5 linked regions of the Oryctolagus cuniculus genome follow. The main gene of each other region encodes a partner of the protein of the gene in region 3 in a complex. Links are inferred from orthologs where the notes say so. Each region holds a gene or a part of one and is shown on either strand. Other genes may lie near its edges.

The links.
Region 1: MED20 (region 3) and MED24 share a complex: the UniProt entries of both Homo sapiens proteins name them as parts of the mediator complex. The link is inferred for Oryctolagus cuniculus from reciprocal best matches to the Homo sapiens genes MED20 and MED24.
Region 2: MED20 (region 3) and MED12 share a complex: the UniProt entries of both Homo sapiens proteins name them as parts of the mediator complex. The link is inferred for Oryctolagus cuniculus from reciprocal best matches to the Homo sapiens genes MED20 and MED12.
Region 4: MED20 (region 3) and MED25 share a complex: the UniProt entries of both Homo sapiens proteins name them as parts of the mediator complex. The link is inferred for Oryctolagus cuniculus from reciprocal best matches to the Homo sapiens genes MED20 and MED25.
Region 5: MED20 (region 3) and MED21 share a complex: the UniProt entries of both Homo sapiens proteins name them as parts of the mediator complex. The link is inferred for Oryctolagus cuniculus from reciprocal best matches to the Homo sapiens genes MED20 and MED21.

The regions. Positions count from the first base shown.
Region 1 is NC_091448.1:22,377,073-22,381,096, reverse strand, and holds the start of MED24 (mediator of RNA polymerase II transcription subunit 24), read right to left. Parts: upstream 2,807-4,024; 5' UTR 2,223-2,806; intron 2,207-2,222; exon of another isoform or gene 2,133-2,206; intron 1,739-2,132; 5' UTR 1,682-1,738; coding exon 1,552-1,681; intron 1,465-1,551; coding exon 1,382-1,464; intron 1-1,381. UniProt on the Homo sapiens protein: Component of the Mediator complex, a coactivator involved in the regulated transcription of nearly all RNA polymerase II-dependent genes.
Region 2 is NC_091453.1:50,938,502-50,942,014, forward strand, and holds part of MED12 (mediator of RNA polymerase II transcription subunit 12), read left to right. Parts: intron 1-434; coding exon 435-568; intron 569-739; coding exon 740-901; intron 902-1,161; coding exon 1,162-1,273; intron 1,274-1,440; coding exon 1,441-1,530; intron 1,531-2,065; coding exon 2,066-2,175; intron 2,176-2,418; coding exon 2,419-2,554; intron 2,555-2,836; coding exon 2,837-2,998; intron 2,999-3,513. UniProt on the Homo sapiens protein: Component of the Mediator complex, a coactivator involved in the regulated transcription of nearly all RNA polymerase II-dependent genes.
Region 3 is NC_091436.1:127,992,849-127,996,735, forward strand, and holds the end of MED20 (mediator of RNA polymerase II transcription subunit 20), read left to right. Parts: intron 1-926; coding exon 927-1,180; intron 1,181-2,454; exon of another isoform or gene 2,455-2,651; intron 2,652-2,765; coding exon 2,766-2,981; 3' UTR 2,982-3,383; downstream 3,384-3,887. UniProt on the Homo sapiens protein: Component of the Mediator complex, a coactivator involved in the regulated transcription of nearly all RNA polymerase II-dependent genes.
Region 4 is NC_091449.1:7,732,024-7,735,536, forward strand, and holds part of MED25 (mediator of RNA polymerase II transcription subunit 25), read right to left. Parts: intron 566-3,513; coding exon 467-565; intron 313-466; coding exon 192-312; intron 1-191. UniProt on the Homo sapiens protein: Component of the Mediator complex, a coactivator involved in the regulated transcription of nearly all RNA polymerase II-dependent genes.
Region 5 is NC_091440.1:124,254,643-124,258,702, forward strand, and holds the start of MED21 (mediator of RNA polymerase II transcription subunit 21), read left to right. Parts: upstream 1-1,259; 5' UTR 1,260-1,460; coding exon 1,461-1,502; intron 1,503-3,877; coding exon 3,878-3,992; intron 3,993-4,060. UniProt on the Homo sapiens protein: Component of the Mediator complex, a coactivator involved in the regulated transcription of nearly all RNA polymerase II-dependent genes.

The sequences.
Region 1 (4,024 bases), on a different chromosome or scaffold from region 3:
TTGCTCAGACTGGATTAGATGTCCCTTCCATGTTCTCTCACAGTACCTATACTCTATTCTTTAAAAATAAATTAGAAGACTTATTATACTCATTTGAAACACAGAGGGAGAGGCAGAAGGAGAAAGATCCTCCATCTTCTTGCTCACTCTTCAGATGACAACAAGGGGGCCTGGAACTCTATCTGGGTCTCCCATCTGGGTGACTTGAGCCACCTTTTTTTTTTTTTTTTTTTTTTTTTGACAGGCAGAGTGGACAGTGAGAGAGAGAGACAGAGAGAAAGGTCTTCCTTTTGCCGTTGGTTCACCCTCCAATGGCCGCCGTGGCCGGCGCGCTGGGGCCAGCGCACCGCGCTGATCCGATGGCAGGAGCCAGGAGCCAGGTGCTTTTCCTGGTCTCTCATGGGGTGCAGGGCCCAAGCACTTGGGCCATCCTCCCCTGCACTCCTGGGCCACAGCAGAGAGCTGGCCTGGAAGAGGGGCAACCGGGACAGAATCCGGCGCCCCAACCAGGACTAGAACCCGGTGTGCTGGCGCCGCTAGGCGGAGGATCAGCCTAGTGAGCCGCGGCGCCAGCCTGACTTGAGCCATCTTGCACTGCTTCCTCAGATACGTTATTGGAAGGACTTCAACCTGTGCTCGATATGGGATGCCAAGCTAACAGGCAGCAGCTTAACCTGCTGACCCAACAGGGAGCCCCCGTACTCTGTTCTAACCCTTATCATAAACCCATCAAGTGACTGCTGCTTTACAAGTCTGTATGAATGTCACCCATTAAATTCCTGTGTACCAGGAACAGGTCGTGTTTACAGCTTTTTCCTCAGAGCCTAGCACTGTCTGGTACTAAAAGCACTGACAGAATAAGCAAATGAAATACCCATCACAACATATGAAGTATTCTTATTTTTACAAGAAAACTGAGCTCAAAGAAGCAATCTGTTCAAACAGTTCATGTAGAAAGTGTAAGTTCAGGGGCTGGCACCATGGAATAGCAGGTAAAGCCACTGCATGCAGTGCCGGCATCCCATGTGGGCACCGGTTTGTGTCTGGCTGCTCCACTTCCACTCCAGCTTCCTACTAATGAGCCTAAGGAAACGATAAAAGACGGCCCAAGTCCTTGGACCCCTGCACCCAAGTGGAGACCCGGAAGAAGCTCCTGGCTCCTGGCTTCTGATCAGCACAGCTCTGGCTGTTGCAGCCACTGAGGAGTGAACCAGCGGATGGAAGACCTCTCTCTCTTTCTCTCTCCCTCCCTCTCTCTTCCTCTCTGTAACTCTGCCTTTCAAATAAACAAATAAATCTTTAAAAAAAAAAAAACTAAGTTGACAACTGCACTCCAGGTCATTCACCCCCAAAATCATTCCTTGGGGAAGAAGTGGTTTACCTGGGAACTAATGGCATACTTCAGGTAGGACAGGATGAGCGGATTGGGGGAAGGTCCAATCATGGCCTGCTCCAGGAGTGCTTCTGTAAAAGGAACAACAAAGTAAGGCTGGGTGGTTACGACTTCCCTGGGCTCATCCCTCCCACCCTTCCTTCCACTTCACTTGAGACCTGCCAGGTTGAGAATGTCCCAGGTGGCTCCTTTGGGAAAGAATTTCTTCATGTTGATTGCCCACTGGTAGTCACTCCATCGTTCCTTCCAGGCTTGCAAAATGGCTTGCTTCAGGTTGACCACCTTCATGCCTTCACTCTGAGGCGGCGGCCCGTAGAGAACAGCTTTGAGGTTGCAGAAATGGAGCTAAAGAGGAGATAAGTTTCAGGGAAAGAGAACAGCCGCGGGCAGAGCTCCACAGAATGGAGACGGGAACCGATTGAAGCGAGGAGCAGGAAATAAAAAAGGGGAAGGGACAAGGTGGAGATCCTGTCAGACCCGTCCCTCCTAATCCATCCCTTCTTGGACTGGGGCACGAGGAAGAGAGTGTCAAACGGGTAATACAAACACTAAAGAGGGTAGCAAAGGGTTAAGCCAGTTCCAATGGCCAATTACTCCCCGAGCCCTGGCGGCGTCCCTCGGCCTCTACCACCCCACGTTCAGCTTTCTCCCCCACCCCCACTTCCACCATCTTCCCCAACCCTGAAATTATAATTCCCTATATCCTTTTCATCTTCCACCTCCCTAAATTTAAACCTACCGGACAGTCGAGCTCTAGACCCTAGGGAGCGCCATTTTGGCACTTATCAAAGAGCCCAATTCTTATTGGCTGAGGATAACAAATACGAACCAGTAGAGATACGGCAAGTCCCGCCACGGTGCCTTCTGGGAGTTGTAGTTCCTTGTACGGAAGTCGTATTTGCCATGGAAAGGAAGCTAAGGGACTACTTGTCAGGCCGCATTATTTATCTCCTTTTAAGAAGGATATCCAGGCGTTGAGGCACTACAGCGTCTCAGAGGCACGGGGTGTGTGGGGGGCTTGAAAAGCTGCTTGCAACTGGGCGTCGCCCAATGACGTCACTGCCGACCAGGCCCTTCCATCCTATTCCGACACCCTTTCCTTACCCTCTAGTTAGTAGGCAGGGTGTGGCGTTTCTCTTCCCTGGTCTTTTATCCCCCCCCCCCCCCCCACTACTGAGCTCTTGGAGCTGTGAGACTTTTCATTTCCACACCTGCATCCCACAGGCGACACTGAGGCCGGTTAGTGGCACACACATCACCTCACAGCCGCATCTGAGCGTCCTCACATACTCTCCTGGCCCATTCAGTAGGAAATAAAGAGGAAACCGAAGTTAGCGTGTTTAAGAAACAAGGAATATCCAAGAAACTGCTCGACATGGCCTAAGAGGACACGACAAAAGGCATTGTGTTGAGGATGGGATCCTGAAAGAGAAAAAAAAAAAAAAAACACATTAGGCAAAAAACTAAAGAAATATGAGCAAAGCAGACTTCAGTTAGTAACAATGTATTGATGTTGATTCATTAGTTGTTAACAAATGTATCATACTAATGCCAAGATGTTAATAAAAGGAGAAACTGGGTGCAGAGCTAGAAATTGGCCAGCCTGAGCTGGGCCAGGCTGCAGACAGGAACCAGGAACCAGGAACTCAATCCTGGTCCCCCACGTGGGTGGCAGGGGCCCGTCTGCTGCTGCCATCCCAGGGACATTAAGAGGAAGCTGGAGCCGAAGCAGAGTAGCCAGAACTCAGTACAGCACGCTGCTGTGGGATGCCAGCATCACAAGTGGACAGCTTAACCCACTGTGCCACCATATCACCCCAACCCTGTTTTATTGGGCAGGCATGACGCAGCGGGTTAAGCTGCCTTTTGGGACACCTGAATTCCACATTGGAGTGCCTGGTTTGAATCCTGACTACTCTGCTTCTGATCCAGCTCCCTGCCAGTGTGCCTTGGAGGCAATAGAAGATGGCTGAAGTACTTGGGCCCCTGCCACCCACGTGGGAGACCTAGGTGGAGTTCCTGGCTCGTAGCTTTGGCCTGGAGCCCTGGCTGTTGCAGTTATCTGGGGAGTGAACCAGCAGATGGAAGATCTCTCTTTGTCATACTGCCTTTCTGTTAAACAAATAAGTTCTTCAAAAAATAAAATAAAATACCAAAAGCAATCCTGTTTATCCCAAGAATCACATTGTAGATTATAATGTCCAGGGCTTTAGGCGTTAAATCTTCTCTCCCTCCTGTGAGAAGCCAGAAAGCAAACATCCCCCACCTCTGGCTCTGAGATCTAAGCCTCCCTATACAGCCTCACCCCTGCCCAGTCATAAGGACAGGTCACCCCAGACATTTATAGTCAGAGACAAGAGGGAATGGGGGGGCCCTCGGCCAGTGTCCTGCCACCCCTCCTTTTAGCCCCCAACCCCGTATCCTGAGGAACCAGATGTGCCAGTCCACAAGTCCCAGTCCCGTCCCTCTCCCAACAGCCATCCCTCAGCCACCTTCTGAATCTGGATGAGCAGCCCTCTCAGGCTCTGTCGGGGCAGAGAATAACAGGATCCTGGGCATCCGGAGCAAGGGCCAAGCAGGGAAACGAGGACTCCTCTTCCAAAGGGAACAGTGTGGCTGGAGAAGGGCCAG
Region 2 (3,513 bases), on a different chromosome or scaffold from region 3:
TGAATCGGAAGTAGAGCAGCGGGCACTCCAACCAGTGCTCATATGGGATGCCAGCGTTGCAGGTGGCAGCTTAACCCACTGCACCGTGACACCGGCCCCACACTTGGGTTCTTGAGATAAGAGAGGATGGGAAGATGGCAAACATGTGGAGCTGGTGATAAGGGGAATGGGTTAGGAGTGTTTGAGCTATCAGGATGTGGTGGTGGAGCCCGTTGCTGTGGCCACAGATGGAAGGAGATTTGCAGAGGAGAAGATGGTGAGGGATTGAGGAAATGCAGAGGTGCCAGAGGGCATGACTCCTGCCAGACCTCCCTTCCCATCAGCGCCGTCCACAGGTGCTCTCTTTTGCCCTTGTCTCCAGCGTCTCCTCCCATCCATTTTCCTTCACCGCCAGCTAGCTACTATAGCACCTCTCTGCCTTGCATCTTCCCCAGGAGATGAATTCCCTCTTGGAGAACATCGCCAAGGCCACAATCGAGGTTTTCCAGCAGTCGGCGGAGACAGGGTCATCTTCCGGAAGCGCTGCAAGCAACATGCCCAGCAGCAGCAAGACCAAGCCTGTGCTCAGGTTGGGTAGAAACATGTTAGGACCCATTCCCTTATGAGTTTCTCTTCTGGTCCCAGGAATGGCGTCAGCCACGTGAGCTTGCTGAGCACGTCCGTCAAGGACAGGAGAGGATGGCTTGTTCAGCCTTGGCCTGGCTCCCCTATAACTGCATGTCCTCCATCTGTCCTCCAGCTCTCTTGAGCGTTCTGGTGTGTGGCTGGTGGCTCCCCTCATCGCCAAACTGCCCACGTCAGTCCAGGGGCATGTATTAAAGGCCGCCGGGGAGGAACTGGAGAAGGGTCAGCACCTGGGTTCCTCTTCCCGCAAAGAACGTGATCGGCAAAAGCAGAAGAGGTAAAAAGGGGCTGGAGCGACCAGGATTGAGGGGTAGAGATGAGAAGGGGCAGGCTCCGGGCAGAGTAAGATTGGAGGCTGAGAGCTGAGGATAAACATCATAAGAAAGGAGAAAATTGGGGCCTTAGGAGTGGGCCTGGCTGAGCAAAGAGGCTGCACCGTAAGAGGAATAGAGTCTGGAGCTTGGCAGAATGAGGTTGGAAGTTGCTCGCTCTCTAACCCATGGTCTCCCTTTTCCTTTCTTTCCCTCCTGTCCATAGTATGTCCCTGCTGAGCCAGCAGCCCTTTTTGTCACTGGTGCTGACGTGTCTGAAGGGGCAGGATGAGCAGCGGGAGGGACTCCTCACCTCCCTCTACAACCAGGTGCACCAGGTACAGGTCCTGGGCCATGCAGGTGGGCAGGAGAGAAGGGGCTGATGCACTTTTGAGGCCTCTGTATGCTGGAAACCTTCACCACTCGCTGATAACGCACATTTGGGCGCCTCGGTATGAACACAAGAAGGTACCCGAGCAACTTGGTGCATTTATTTCTATCCTAGATTGTGAAGAATTGGCGGGATGGCCAGTACTTAGATGACTGCAAACCCAAGCAGCTAATGCATGAGGCACTCAAACTGCGGCTCAACTTGGTGAGCAGGGGAGCCGGGGAGAAAAAGGGAGAGAGGGAGGCTGGAAAAGGCAGAGGAAAGAAGACCCTGGTCAGGGATGGCGAGGCTGAGGGTGGGGGTCCCAGGTTTCTCTGGGTCTACAACTATTAACCCTGCTCTCCTAAAAGACACAGGTCCTGAAATGGTTCTTGGGACTAGATCACCCTGGTCAGGGTCCAGTGGGTTGCGTGCATACCCTAGATCCTTGCAGGGATCCTGCCTCAGTATCCCACACTGTGGCCAGGCCCTAGAAACCCTGGAAATGCACTATGAAATGTGGAGTAGTATCCTGGAGATCATGTGGTCCGGCCCCCGTCATTCTCTAAATAAGGAAATAGAGGCCCTAAGATGTCAAGAATTCAGTCGTCAGCCTGAGATCATGTAGCAAATCCCAGGCACAGCTGAAACCTGGCCTCAGGTGTCCCGAGTCCCACCTAGCCCCGCTTCTAAGATCTAAGCCTGCCTTCAAGCCTGCCCATCGTCCCCGAGCCATCTGACTGACTTGTGGCCCTGGCAGGTGGGGGGCATGTTTGACACAGTACAGCGCAGCACCCAGCAGACCACGGAGTGGGCCATACTCCTCCTGGAGATCATCATCAGCGGCACCGTCGACATGCAGTCCAACAAGTAAAGCATCCCTGGCCCCGCCCCGGCCCCCTGTTCACGCCCCCAGAAGCCCCCCCCCCCACCAGCCTCACCCCACCCCGCTCCGCTCCAGGTCCATGGTCCACTGAGATCAGTGTGGCCCTGGGTGTTCCTCACCCAGTCTTGGTGCCTTTGGGATGACAGATCAGGCACCGCTGTCTGCTAAGGCCTTTTTCTGCCTGAACCTTTTTCTTCTCTGAGTTTCTCCTTGGCTCTCTGTCACAGCGAGCTCTTCACTACCGTGTTGGACATGCTGAGTGTCCTGATCAATGGGACGTTGGCTGCAGACATGTCCAGCATCTCCCAGGGCAGCATGGAGGAAAACAAGCGTGCATACATGAACCTAGTGAAGAAGCTACAGGTGAGCAGAAGATGCCAGGGCCGGGGCTTGGAGGTCATGGGATCATGGCCCCCTCTCCCCTGACACGGCGCTTGCTGCCCAGCCTCAGGAACTTCATTCTGGCCCACACCTTCCTTACCTTTCCCTTTCACATACTTTTCACTAATTTTTTTCTTTGTTTTGCACACAGTGAGGATTTACCAAGATGTTATCTTTATGCTAGGTTCACTGCTCCCTCCTGAGATTTCCTGACCCTGTTTTTCTGTAACTTTGACCTCTTGTCCCTTCTTCCCGGGCCTGCAGAAAGAGTTGGGGGAGCACCAGTCAGACAGTCTGGAAAAGGTTCGCCAGCTGCTGCCACTGCCTAAGCAGACCCGAGATGTCATCACGTGTGAGCCCCAGGGCTCCCTCATCGACACCAAGGGCAACAAGATCGCCGGCTTCGATTCCATCTTCAAGAAGGAGGCATGTTCCATTGTCTTGCCACGCCCTCTGCCCCTTTCCCTCCTTGAGCCAAAGGTGTCCCTGCCTTAACCTCGTGGCTACAAGGGCCTCAGTAGACTCAGGAGTCCATTAGGCTCTGCCAGTGGCGGAAGCCATCTCTGGTGTTTAGAGTGAATCATTTACCTCTCCTTACATGTCTTCTCCCCATCTTTGAAGTCCCACTCTCTTTCATTGCTCTCTCTCTCTCTCTCTCAACCCCCACCTATCTCTCAGTACCCCACCCTCCTCTTGCCTCTGCCCCACCCCCTTCCTGTCCTGTCCCCACCCCTCTATTTGGCTAAGGATGCAGATCTCTTTTATCCGTGCATATCCTCCACCCCACCCCACCCCATCTCTGCAGTTTCCTCTTGTCCCTCTGTGTCAGTGGTAGTATCTGTTGAATAGCTGTAATCATTGTATGTCGCAGCACTGAGAGGAGAAGGAGGATGCAGGGTTTCAAATCCAAAGTCCATTCGGATGTGCATTCTCTGCGTTGC
Region 3 (3,887 bases):
TTTGTTTTAAGATTTATTTTATGTGAAGGCAGAGTTATAGAGACAGAGAGATCTTCCATCCACTGATTCACTCTGTAAATGGCCACAACGGCTGGAGCTGGGCCAATCAAAAACCAGGAGCTTCTTCTGGGTCTCTCACATGGGTGTGGGGACCCAAGCACTTGGGCCATCTTCCATTGCTTTCCCAGGTGCATTAGTAGGGAGCTGGATTGGAAGTGGAATAACTGGTACTCAAACCAGTACCCAAATGGGATGCTGGTGCTGCAGGCAACAGCTTTATCTGCTTTGACATAGCACCAGCCCCAAAAAAGCATATAATGAAAAAATATGCATAGATTTCAAAAATTTTTTGTACCAAAATGGACTTAAAAATGCTTATTTATTTGAAAGAATGACAGAGAGAGATCATTCATCTACTGGAATACTCTCCAAATGACCACAATAGCCAGGTTTGGGAGCTGCATTCTGGACTCCCACGTGGGTAGCAGGGCCCAAGTATCTGGGTCATCTTCTGCCTTCCCAAGCACATTGGCAGGAAACTGAAACAGCAGTGGAGTAGCTGGGACTCAAAACTAGCAGTCCAGCATGGAAGTCAGTGTTGTAGGAGGTGGATTACCCATTGCACCACAACACTGGCCTCTAGGCTTGTTTTCTGATTCCATTTTCTACAGTCTTTGTGAAATACTCTCAGATACTAAAGAACATAGTACATTTTGTTTGAGCTTTTTTTTCTGTATGAGCTGTTAGTCATCTAAGCATCCCTCTGTGAGCCACCAAGGAGAGGGGAACCACTCCCCACATACACACTGGTATGCAGGACTGCTAAAGTAGTACCCGCTTGCCAGCTGGCCTTGTTCCATGCGTTGATCCCAGCCTGGGTCTGCCAGCGAAAGCCTGGGTGATGAGTAGGTCTCCGTCCGTTGCAGGTCAGGCCGGGAAGCTGATGTATGTCATGCACAACTCGGAGTACCCGTTGAGCTGCTTCGCCCTCTTTGAGAATGGCCCTTGCCTTATTGCTGACACCAACTTTGATGTGCTCATGGTGAAGCTCAAGGGCTTTTTCCAGAGTGCCAAGGCCAGCAAGATTGAGACTCGGGGCACCCGTTACCAGTACTGTGACTTCCTGGTGAAGGTGGGCACTGTGACAATGGGTCCCAGTGCCCGGGGCATCTCTGTGGAGGTAAGATCTCGGTGAAGTGGGAGCAGGTGGTGCTGAGGGGCTGCGCAGCAGAGGGCTCTGAAGGTTTTCCAGGCAGCCCAGGTCACACAGATGTTTTTGCCTGCCTGACCCCTGATTCCAAGCTCCTGGCTTTCTCTCCATGAATTTTTTACCCTTTCTTTCATCAGTTATGGAATCAGTAGCCCAGCATGGGAAATGGGAAGCTGGGTGCACAGCAGGTAAAAGCATACGATGCCTGACTTGCCGGAGAAGGGAAGGGAGAACTGAGGGAGACATGTGGGTGATGATGTGCAGGAGCTGTGGCAGGACCTGCAGCAGACTAGGACAACTTTTGGAGCCACTTTTGGAAGGTGACTCCTTCATCACTTTGAATGTCAGCCTCCTTATTGTTGCTTTGAAATGGGTCTCAGAAGTTGTGGAGTGAAAATGCGCCTTCCTTTTGATATGCTGCTGCTCTGTTTTGTGGTGCAGAGGGGTACCTGTATGAGAAGACTTCATCCGTGAGCCTAAATATACATACTGAAATTGGCAGAGAGGAGTAAGGTGGAAGCTGGCCCTGGGACCTGGGGAAGTCCATGGCCTACCACATACCCAGCATTATTTGAGATTAAAAAACAAGGAAGTTTACAGGGCTTGCATTTTGGAAATCTATGATTTATTAAGAGAACAAGGCTAGAAAACTGTTTTTGAAGTCAGTCCAAGAAATGCCATAAGTGGAGCACAGCTTTGCTCAGGGAATTCAGGCCAGCGGTAACTGCTGACTCGGTTGTGATGCTTCTGGGAGGAGCAGCATTGAAGTAGGGGCTTAAAACATAGAGACGTGGGATGGGTCGGTCTGGGAAGCATCCCAGGTGGGGAAAAGGGCAGTAGCAGTGATTTCTGCTCAGAAACCTCTGGAGCACAGATTCCCTAACTTTTCAGCTTGGGATACACCTTGAGTTGCTGAGACCCAACGGGACCCGCTGTTTGTCCTCCACTTCCACCCTTGTGGGACAAACACACTCAACAGTTTCTCCTTGTGACCCCAGTGAAAAACTAGGAGAGAGGAACAAGAAAACCTGAGATGTGTATTCTTGGCCGCTGCCACCTTGCTTGGGAAATTCTTTTAGGCGTAGAGCCCTGGCTATATCTGCCTTGGAAATAAAGATTGGTCTTGAAGAGGCTCATGAGGATGTGTGTCTACTCTGCCCTCTACTTACCCCTTCAGCCCTACTCCTGCCTTCCTCGTACCTACACACATTTTTCTTCCCTTCTCTCTTTGTTGTATGTCTCAGAATTTTCCTGAGCTCTCCTTGAATCCTCACCAAGCATCACAGCAGAGTCTGCAGAGCCCTGAGACAAACAAAAGGGACCCAGATCTGCCCATGGGGCTAACAGGGAGGGCTGCGGGCTGACAACCTCCAGGATGGCGTTTAATGGGAACAATGCTGGGTGTGTTGAATATTTCCTGTGGACAACACTGTGCTGGCAGGTGTGTGTTTTTGACTCAGGGTTGGGGGACATAGAGGCAGAGGGCAGGAGGGCAAGAGAGCAGACCTTGTCCTTGCCCTCCCTTACCCTCATTCTCTGTTCTTTTGGTCCCCAGGTGGAGTACGGCCCCTGCGTGGTAGCTAGTGACTGCTGGAGCCTGCTGCTTGAGTTCCTACAGAGTTTTCTAGGCAGCCATACACCAGGGATTCCTGCAGTGTTTGGAAACAGACACGACGCAGTCTATGGCCCAGCAGACACCATGGTCCAGTACATGGAACTCTTCAACAAGATCCGCAAGCAGCAGCAGGTGCCAGTGGCTGGGATTCGTTAGTGGCTGGCAGCTGCTGGCCAAGCTTTGTCACCAGAGGTACTCCACAGGAGGAGGTGCTGCCCTCAGGTCTCTGGACCCCAGAAATCTAGGGCAGCCATGGAGGCCTCTCTTCCTTTCCAGTTCCCAGCTGTGGCCTTTGTGGGGACTCTGGACTCCACACCCTTGACCCTCACACAGCCCCCCAACAGCCATTTTGCCCCAGGCCTCACTGGATTTGGCCTGTCCTCAGGAATGGTATTTATGAAGACTGGAGAAGTTTGGACCTCTCCTGCTTTAGGGGAAAAGGTAGGACAGGGGTGCCCCTGCCTAGTGTTGGTGGGGAAATCAGTCTGGACCCACAACAGATGTGCTGCGTTTCGTGTTTGGGCCATGCAGGAATAAAAATCTCTTCCTTAACTCAAAGGATGTGGCTGGAGATGCAGGCGGAAGCACAGCTTGTTTGATGCCTGTCATTTTCTGACCTGTTTGCCAGAAACTGTGAATTGACTTTCCTAGGGTGTTAGCTGAGTTTTTGAGCTCTCCTGTTGATGTCTTTCCCTTCTGTCGTGATTATGTTAAGCCACAGGCTAAACTCTGTCGTAGCGGAGAACCAAAAGGACTGTGGCTCTTACTAGGTAAAAGTTTCTTTCTCCTCTGATAGTACACAGGTAATCAGATGGTCCAGAGCAGATTTAACTGTACCAGGTCATCAGGAACTTGTTTTCCTTCTGTCTTGTTGTTCAGCTATCCCTAGGGTATTATCCTTACCCACAAGATCAAAGCAGACTCCTCAGTTCTGTGTCCACATTCCCCTGGGAAAGAGGGAAGAGAGCGGCTTTTTTTTTTAGAGCATATGACCTGGAGCGATTCAAGTGCTGGTGCCACACTTTGCTGGAAGGCTTCGCTGTGACGCGGAACCTTGCAACT
Region 4 (3,513 bases), on a different chromosome or scaffold from region 3:
AGTGGGGGCCCTGCTGTGGGGGGGATACGACAGGAAGTGGGTGCCCTGATGTAGGGCAGAGCAGAGCAGAGCAGGGGGGACGCGGGGCCAGCCCCGGGTGCCCACACCTGACAGGCCTTAACCACAGTTCTCACTGGCCGAGGCAGGGACGGCAGACTCGGGGAGCTGCCCAGGGCACTCTGGGTCCTCACCTCCCCAATCTTCTGCACCAGGCTGTCGGTCGTGCAGCCCGAGTACGTGGTGCTCTCCACGGCGGGCAGCAGGTACGGGGGGGAGTTGCAGATCAGCAGGCACACGCGGTGCGTCTGGCCGCTGCAGGTCAAGAAAGGCATGGAGCAGCCACCACGGGGCCTTGAGGAGGCCGCAGACCCCGACCCCAGCTGCCTGCCCCACGCCCCCACCACAGACCACGTGGTCCCGGGCCAGCTGGCACGAGCCCGGCCCAGGCCGCGCGAGGGGCACTCACATCTGCTCCCGCATCTTCTTGAAGTCGTCGAACAGCTGCAGGGCTGTGCTGAGGCCTTCGGCGATGAGGCTGCAGCTCTCACCGCCCCCGCCCATGAACCTGCCGGAGGTCAGGGGTCAGCCAACGTGCCCCTCGCCCCCCCGCCGGCCTGTGTTCCCTGCACTGTCCCCGCAGTGGGCACAGCACCAGGCCAAGGGCGTGGACGGGGCACCTGTGCTGTCCTGATCCTGGGATGACCCTGTCCACACTCCACACCCCTGGCCATCTAGTCCATCTTTAAAGCCAGCCCTGGGCTCACCTCACCTTCCCAGCAGGTAGAGGGACCCCTTTGTCTCCCAGCACCTGGTGGGTTTGAGTGTCTCCCTCTCCCCAAATAAAACAAGCTGAGATCCTGCCCCTAGTACCTCAAAATGTGACCCGACTGTAAATGGGATCTTTAAAAACTTTTTTAAATTTTACTTGAAAAGCACCCCCACAACACACACACAGGCGGTGATACTCCTCCTAACCGTGCGTTCACTCCCCTCCCCAAATGCCTGCAACAGCCAGGGCTGGGCAAAGCCAGAGCCAGCAGCTGGGAGCTGCACGCAGGGCAAACGTGGGTGGCAGGGGTCCAGGCACCCGAGCTCCACCTGCTGCCTCCGGGCGCTGGGCAGCGGACGCTGCGTCCCAGGCAGGGCATCACCCACGGTGCCCCTCGCCCACCTGGAAACACGCGTTCTCCCCAGGTGATCGAGTTAAACAGGTCACCAGGGGACAGCAGGGCAGACCCTGGGGTGTTAGGCAGGAAGTCAGTTATGAGCTTACGTGTGTGTGCCAAAGGCCTCCCGAGAAAACTTCTACGTTCAGCATATGCATCTGCATCTCAAAGTCATCCTGATGGTGTTACAGGGGCAGCCCGGTATTCGCATCTTCACATCCTGCCCTGCCCCCTTCTACCTGATGACCTGCCAGGTGGAGATTCCCCCCGACTTCCGCCTGACAAATCCTCCACAGTCTCCCAGGTGCAGCCCAGTACCTGCATCTCAAACACCCTGCTCCGGATCCCCATTCTCCAGGGGGTCCTGCTCACCCTTCCTCTGAACCCAGGATGGCGCCAGCTGGGCTTCCTCCTGTCTGATACCTTCAGGGGAAAACTCAGATAGGAGCTTCTTAATATTTACAGCCATAAAATCCTTTGATTCAGGAGGAGATGTGTGAAGACAGAGACCCATCTCCTTAACCCTCCCCCCCCCCCGCCCCCAGCCTCAACCGGACTGCGCGCTCAGCCCTCTGCCTCTCTGCTGAGCCGCCCGCCTGGTCTGGTCAGGTGTACTCTCTCCACTCAACCATGTAACATCCCCCCCCCCCCCCCCCCAGTCCGAGCGACTGCACTCTTTCCCAGGTCCTGTCTGGAGAGGTGCCCATCCATCCTCACGGATGTCCCTTCCCTAATAAACCTTGCTATTTTACTATTTTACCTCCCACTGCTCTCTGTCTCACGCCTGAATTCTTTCTTGCGCGAAGACAAGAACCCTGCAATTTCTCCGGTAACAGGGGAAGACGGCGCCAGCCGAGGGAGCTGTGTGATGACGGGGGCGACACAAGCCAGGGGCATCTGGGACGACCAGAAGCCGGGAAAGGAAACCAAGCCTCGCCCATTGGCCCCCAGAGAGAGGCCTGGCCGGCGCCTGGAACCCAGACTTGCGGCCTTCCAACCTGCAGCCGATCTGTGTCTGCTCAGGCACTCAGCACTCCGCGGGTGCGGCCCAGGGAAAACACCCAGGCACAGGCACAGGCACGCTCGCACTCGGCCGCTCCTGTGGGGAGGGGGCAGGGCCTGCTGCAGGGCTGTGGGTGACCCTGTGCCTGGCCCACGCAAGTTAGCCTCACTGCGGGCAGGCAGCAGCAGCCCCAGGCCCGTTCCCCCACCCCAGCCTCCTGCGGAAGAGCCCGGAACTGCCCATCAGGTAAACAGCCCCCGGGCGCGGCCCAGGCCCATCAGGAAGGCTGCAGGACCTTCAAGCTGGTTGAGAAGCAGAGCGCGCCAACGGCGGCCTTACCCTCTAGCGCTGGTGTTGCCCTGAATTAGCCACGCCCCCCGCCTGCCCTTTTCTATCTCATGCTTGATCGTCAATAAGCAGACTTGTTCACCAAAACCGGTCTCTGGCGCTTCTTGCAGAACGCCGTCAACCCACCATCCCGGCAGTGTGGACCTTGCAGGACGAGCCCACACACGGGCGGGTCCAAGCCCTCTCACCACCAGCCTGTGCACCTGGGGGCCTTGGAAAACGTGTCTTCAACAAACGGATGGCCACATCCATTAGGGCGGGAGCAGACCCAAGCCCCCGCCGGGCACCTGCACCCCCTGGGCCTGGTCCACCATCACTGGCCTCTCTGGACATGCTCCAAGGGGCAGTCCACGGTCACCTGGACCGAGACGAGACGAGACGGCGGCTGCCAGGGCACCGTGAACTGCCAAAACGCCCGAGGTCAACACCGCTCCTTGTTTGGAACAAAGAGCCCGCTGGCCCGAGACCTGCTCACCCGCGGCCCACGAGTGCTCTCCCAGCCTCCGTCCACTCCCTGGAAAAGCCTGGTGAACCCCTCAGCTCCCTCTCCCTCTTATAAAGCCCTCACTCTCCTGTGTATTTCTTCTCTCACTGAATAAATGCTAAAACCATTAAAAAAAAAAGTCCGAGGGCCACAGTGAAAGGCTAAACTTTGAAATCCTAAAACTTGCTCTTTCTTCTGAATGAACACAAACAGAACTCAGAGAGAAAAACAAACATTCTGTCAGAGATGAGCAACGCTTCTACTGGGGAACAGAAACAAACACTGCCGGTCACAGGACACAGCTTCCCCACGGAGCTGGCACCGGCACCTGCGACACCGGCATCGCATACGGGGCCCGGCTGCTCCGCTGCCCATCCAGCTCCCTGCTGGCGCGCCTGGGGCAGCAGCAGGCGACGACCTGAGTGCTTGGGCCCTGCACCCACGTGGGAGACCCGGACGGAGCTCCTGCCGCCTGGCTTGTGGTCATTTGGGGAGGAAGAGGCAGATGAATG
Region 5 (4,060 bases), on a different chromosome or scaffold from region 3:
CATTTGGGCAAGTGTAGAACTCCTAGCAAGTCCCTGACCTTTTGCCCCTTGCAAACGCAGCTTCCATGGCACGGTGCAACATTCGGTACGGTATACTCTCAACTGGTACAAGAAAGCTACAGACTGCTCCAAACTACAGTTAAAGCAAATGAGAGTCACTTGGCATTGGTACCATGATATGGGAAGTGTCTCACCTGTGTGGTTCCCCCAGCAGGTCAGGTCTATTGACGCAGAGGTGGGGCTTCCCAGAAAGGGCCGGGCTCAGTCCTGCAAGCTGAGTTCCCCAAGGACTGTCTCCCCCACTGCCATGCTTTGAATGTGTCTGCCGCATTCATGCATCTAAGGAATGCACCAGAAGGAGCTGTCACACCAAGTCATATATCTGCAGCAGACAAGGAGACCACAAGGAGTCATTTCCAAAGCCGTGACTCTGTGAGCAGGGGAGAGGGAAAGATGAGCAGGTAAGAGGGAGGTTCTGATCACACCTGGGGGTGGGTACAGGTCCATGAAGGTACAGTTTGGAAGAATGCTCCAACACTGGCTGCACCATACGGCAGCACAGCTCACACTCCCCCTGGGGTGGAGCTCTTAGTGTTAACATGAAGCAAAAGGTGAGGTGTGGATACTCTGTGACCCGCCTGCGCCGGCCTTGCTCCTGCAGTAGGGTCCCGAGCAGTCCAGGATAGCTAGGGAACTGCATCTCTCTCTGGCATGTGACAGCAAACCTGAACTACATCAGGTGCCTTTGAGATGTGCAAGTAGAGATGAGTCAGTTGACAGTTTCTGAGCTGTGCAGGGCAGTGATAGGGAAAGGTGACTCGGCCCTTCTGAGTGGATTAATCCACTGGATTACTGGGGTAGCCCTGGGCAGGCGGTGGGTGTGTGGCATGGTGGCTAAGGCACTGCTTGGGACAGCTGCATCACAGGGCTTGAGTTCGAATCCCAGCTCTGCTCCTGATTTTAGCTTCTGCTAGTGAGCACCAGATAGGCAGCAGGTTATAGCTGGAGTGGTTCCCAGGTGGGAGACCTGCACTGAGTTCCAGGCTCTGGCTTTGGCCAGGCTCAGCCCCTAGTTGCTGCAGGCACTTGGAAAATCAATCAGCAGATAGAACTTAATCTGCCTCTCTAATAAAATGACAATATATAAATAAATTTTTAAATACATGGGAAAGTAGGACAAACCACTAAATAATCCCACAGAATTCAACGATCTCGGTAAACAGCTGACCACCTCACAACCTGAAAGGGAGCCCAGTCGCGCAAAGGATGCCGGGCCCCAGCCGCTGCAGGTCCAGGTAGCTCACCCGGCGTTCTCCCCGGCACCCGCCCCTCCTCGCGGGGCGTGTCCTCCATGACCCCACCCCTTCCGGAGAGCCGCACTCTGATTGGCCGTGACCCGTACGAAAGCTGGCCAATCGCGTAGGAGCAGCTGCTGCAGCGTCTCTGCGTGCGGGAGGAACATGGCGGACCGCCTCACACAGCTGCAAGACGCCGTGAACTCGGTAGGCGCTTTAATTCGCTTACTTGCGGTCTGCCTCATTCCTGAGGTAAAACGGGGGAGGAGAAGAGGCCCGAGACGCAGCCTTCGGCGGTGGCGAGCAGATGGAGGCGGTGCCTCTGCGAATTCGGGGCGTTCGAGGCCGGCCGCGGGGGCCGCGGAGGGAGCAGCCCCTTTGCCCGGCGGCGGCCTCACGGGGCTCGCCGGACACTGGTGCTGGGGGCGGGAGGAGAAGAAAGCAGACGCGGTTCTCTGCGTATACCTCGGCCCCGGGGCCCTGGAGACTGCGTCTCGGTGCGACGCCTTAGCCGGGCTCCGGTACTTCGAGGGGCGGGAGCAGGAGCGGTGGCGCCTGGAGAAGTTGTGTTCGCTCCCTCAGGCGGGGATGGCGAGAGCTGACGTCTGGAAGCTTGTGAACCTTGTGTCGGGCGTTGAGGTCCCTGGGTTTGAGAAGCGGCTCCCCTGGCGTTGTCCCTGGCGATGCTTTGCACCTGAGAGTGCGTGCGAGCCCTAGGCCCTGGGCTTGGAGCGGCCGCTGGCTGCCCTGCCTGCTGGGGCTGCTGTCCCCGGGCGGGTGCCTGGGCGGGCACTGTGATTGTTCACCCCCCAGCCCTTGAAGCTGACGAGCCGAGCGCTTGCAGAGCGCCAGCGTGCTGTGAACAGCGCGGGAGCTTGCGAGGCTGAGCGGGCAGCCACCGAGTGTGGGTGACATCCTGCCAGGCCCTCGGGGAGCTTCTACACATGCTGGTGCTGGATGGAAGCCTTCCTTCGTGGCCTGGCCCCTGGAGGCGAGGCAGGGCGGAGGGAGTGTGGCCTCTCCCCCAGGGGGAGGCCTGCTGGTAGCTGGGGTCTCCAGAGAAGCCTTCAGGGTACGCCATGAGCGCCTGCTGTGTCGGAGCCCAATCGTAGTTCCAAAGGGACAGCCTGAAGGGCATAAGGATGATGTCACATACTCAGGGGACGTTTAAATGATGTAAAAACACTATGGGGTTAGGGAGTTAGAATGAATGCGGTGTTTTCAGCTGTCAGTGCTGAGTAAATTGGAATATGGAGCCATGCGCCCTGAAATACTGAATTATCGTAATCGTAATTATTCATGTCGTGTTCACCATATTTGTGTTACGGCTGTTAGGTTTATGTTCGTTTCTTGCCGTGGAGTTTTTTTCAATCACTGTTTGTTGAATGAACGTCTAAATGGATCTTGAAAGCTTGTGAGGGACAGTACAGATAGCCACTGTGTTGAAGGGTTTTTTGTGCGTTTCCGCTGTTTGTCCGGTTAATCAAACCAGGATTAGAATCTAGGTTTATATAGCTTCCAAGCTCTTCCCCCTCCATTGCAAATAGCAAACCAGCAAACTGATAACTAGCGAGTAACTGTGAGGGAGTAAAATGTGAAAAATGTTTAGGAAGAGCTGGCTGAGATTATTATTGAAAAGTTGGAAACCGCTTGCTGACCGCAGTGGAGTGAGCCGGCGGTTTTTGTGCAGGGGGGAATACGATGGGTAACCAGAGAACAGTGAGGGCGCGATTGCAGTAATTCTGGCAGGAGGTAAGTGATGGAACAGAAGGGGGAGAATGAACCATCCGCGGGATAGGAAGCTGGAAGGCATGAGGCTCTGGAATGAGACTGGTTGGCTAGGACGCTCTCAAGACCAGTTAGATACTTATCCGGGGAGCAGGTGACTTCGAGTCCGGCCATTGCAGTCATGGCGGAGAAGGGCGGTGGAAATGCTTCCTCACTGATGGGAAATAGGACTTGAGGTCTGAGAGGTCAGGCCTAGTGAGAGGATTGGTGGGGAGCTGTGGTCCCTGGTTGAAGATGGTAAGGCACTGGTTTCTCAGTCTTGAGAGCTGCTGAAGGAATACTTTAACAACGCGAGCCTTAGCACTGCATTAGAAAAGGCACCTTATTTCCCCTATTTCTTTGCCTTGTGAACACTGAGATCTCAGAAAAGGAATTGTATATGAGTAACACTTTTTTAAATTAAATCTGGGGCCATACGTGGAAAGTCTCGTTGCCTGTAATATTGGCACAAAATTGTCTTTATCATTCTGTTAGCTTCAGAAGACAAGAAAGATGATACAAGTTTGCATGGGCTGCAAAATTTTTTTGCATAAAAATATATTGATCTTTTAATTCCATTTTTACTGTCTCATCTAGATTGATATCAACACCACCTAGGTTGATACTAAGTTTATTTGCATGGTTGAAATATCTAATCATTGTTAACACACTGGCTTGTTTTATCCGAAATTACTCCTTTCTGATTCACTCCCCTGCTCAGAGAGCATTGTTTTGGGAAACTTGTTGCCATTACCAGCAAAAGCTTTAGACTTGATAAACTTTGTATAATCCTGACCTGTTTTCTCTGGCCCAAGCTTGCAGATCAGTTCTGTAACGCCATTGGAGTGCTGCAGCAGGGTGGGCCTCCTGCCTCTTTTAACAACATTCAGACAGCCATTAACAAAGACCAGCCTGCTAATCCCACCGAAGGTAAACAGCTTTTCTTGGCTTCCCTTTATTTGATTCTCGGACTTCGTGTAATCCTTTAAATTAGATTT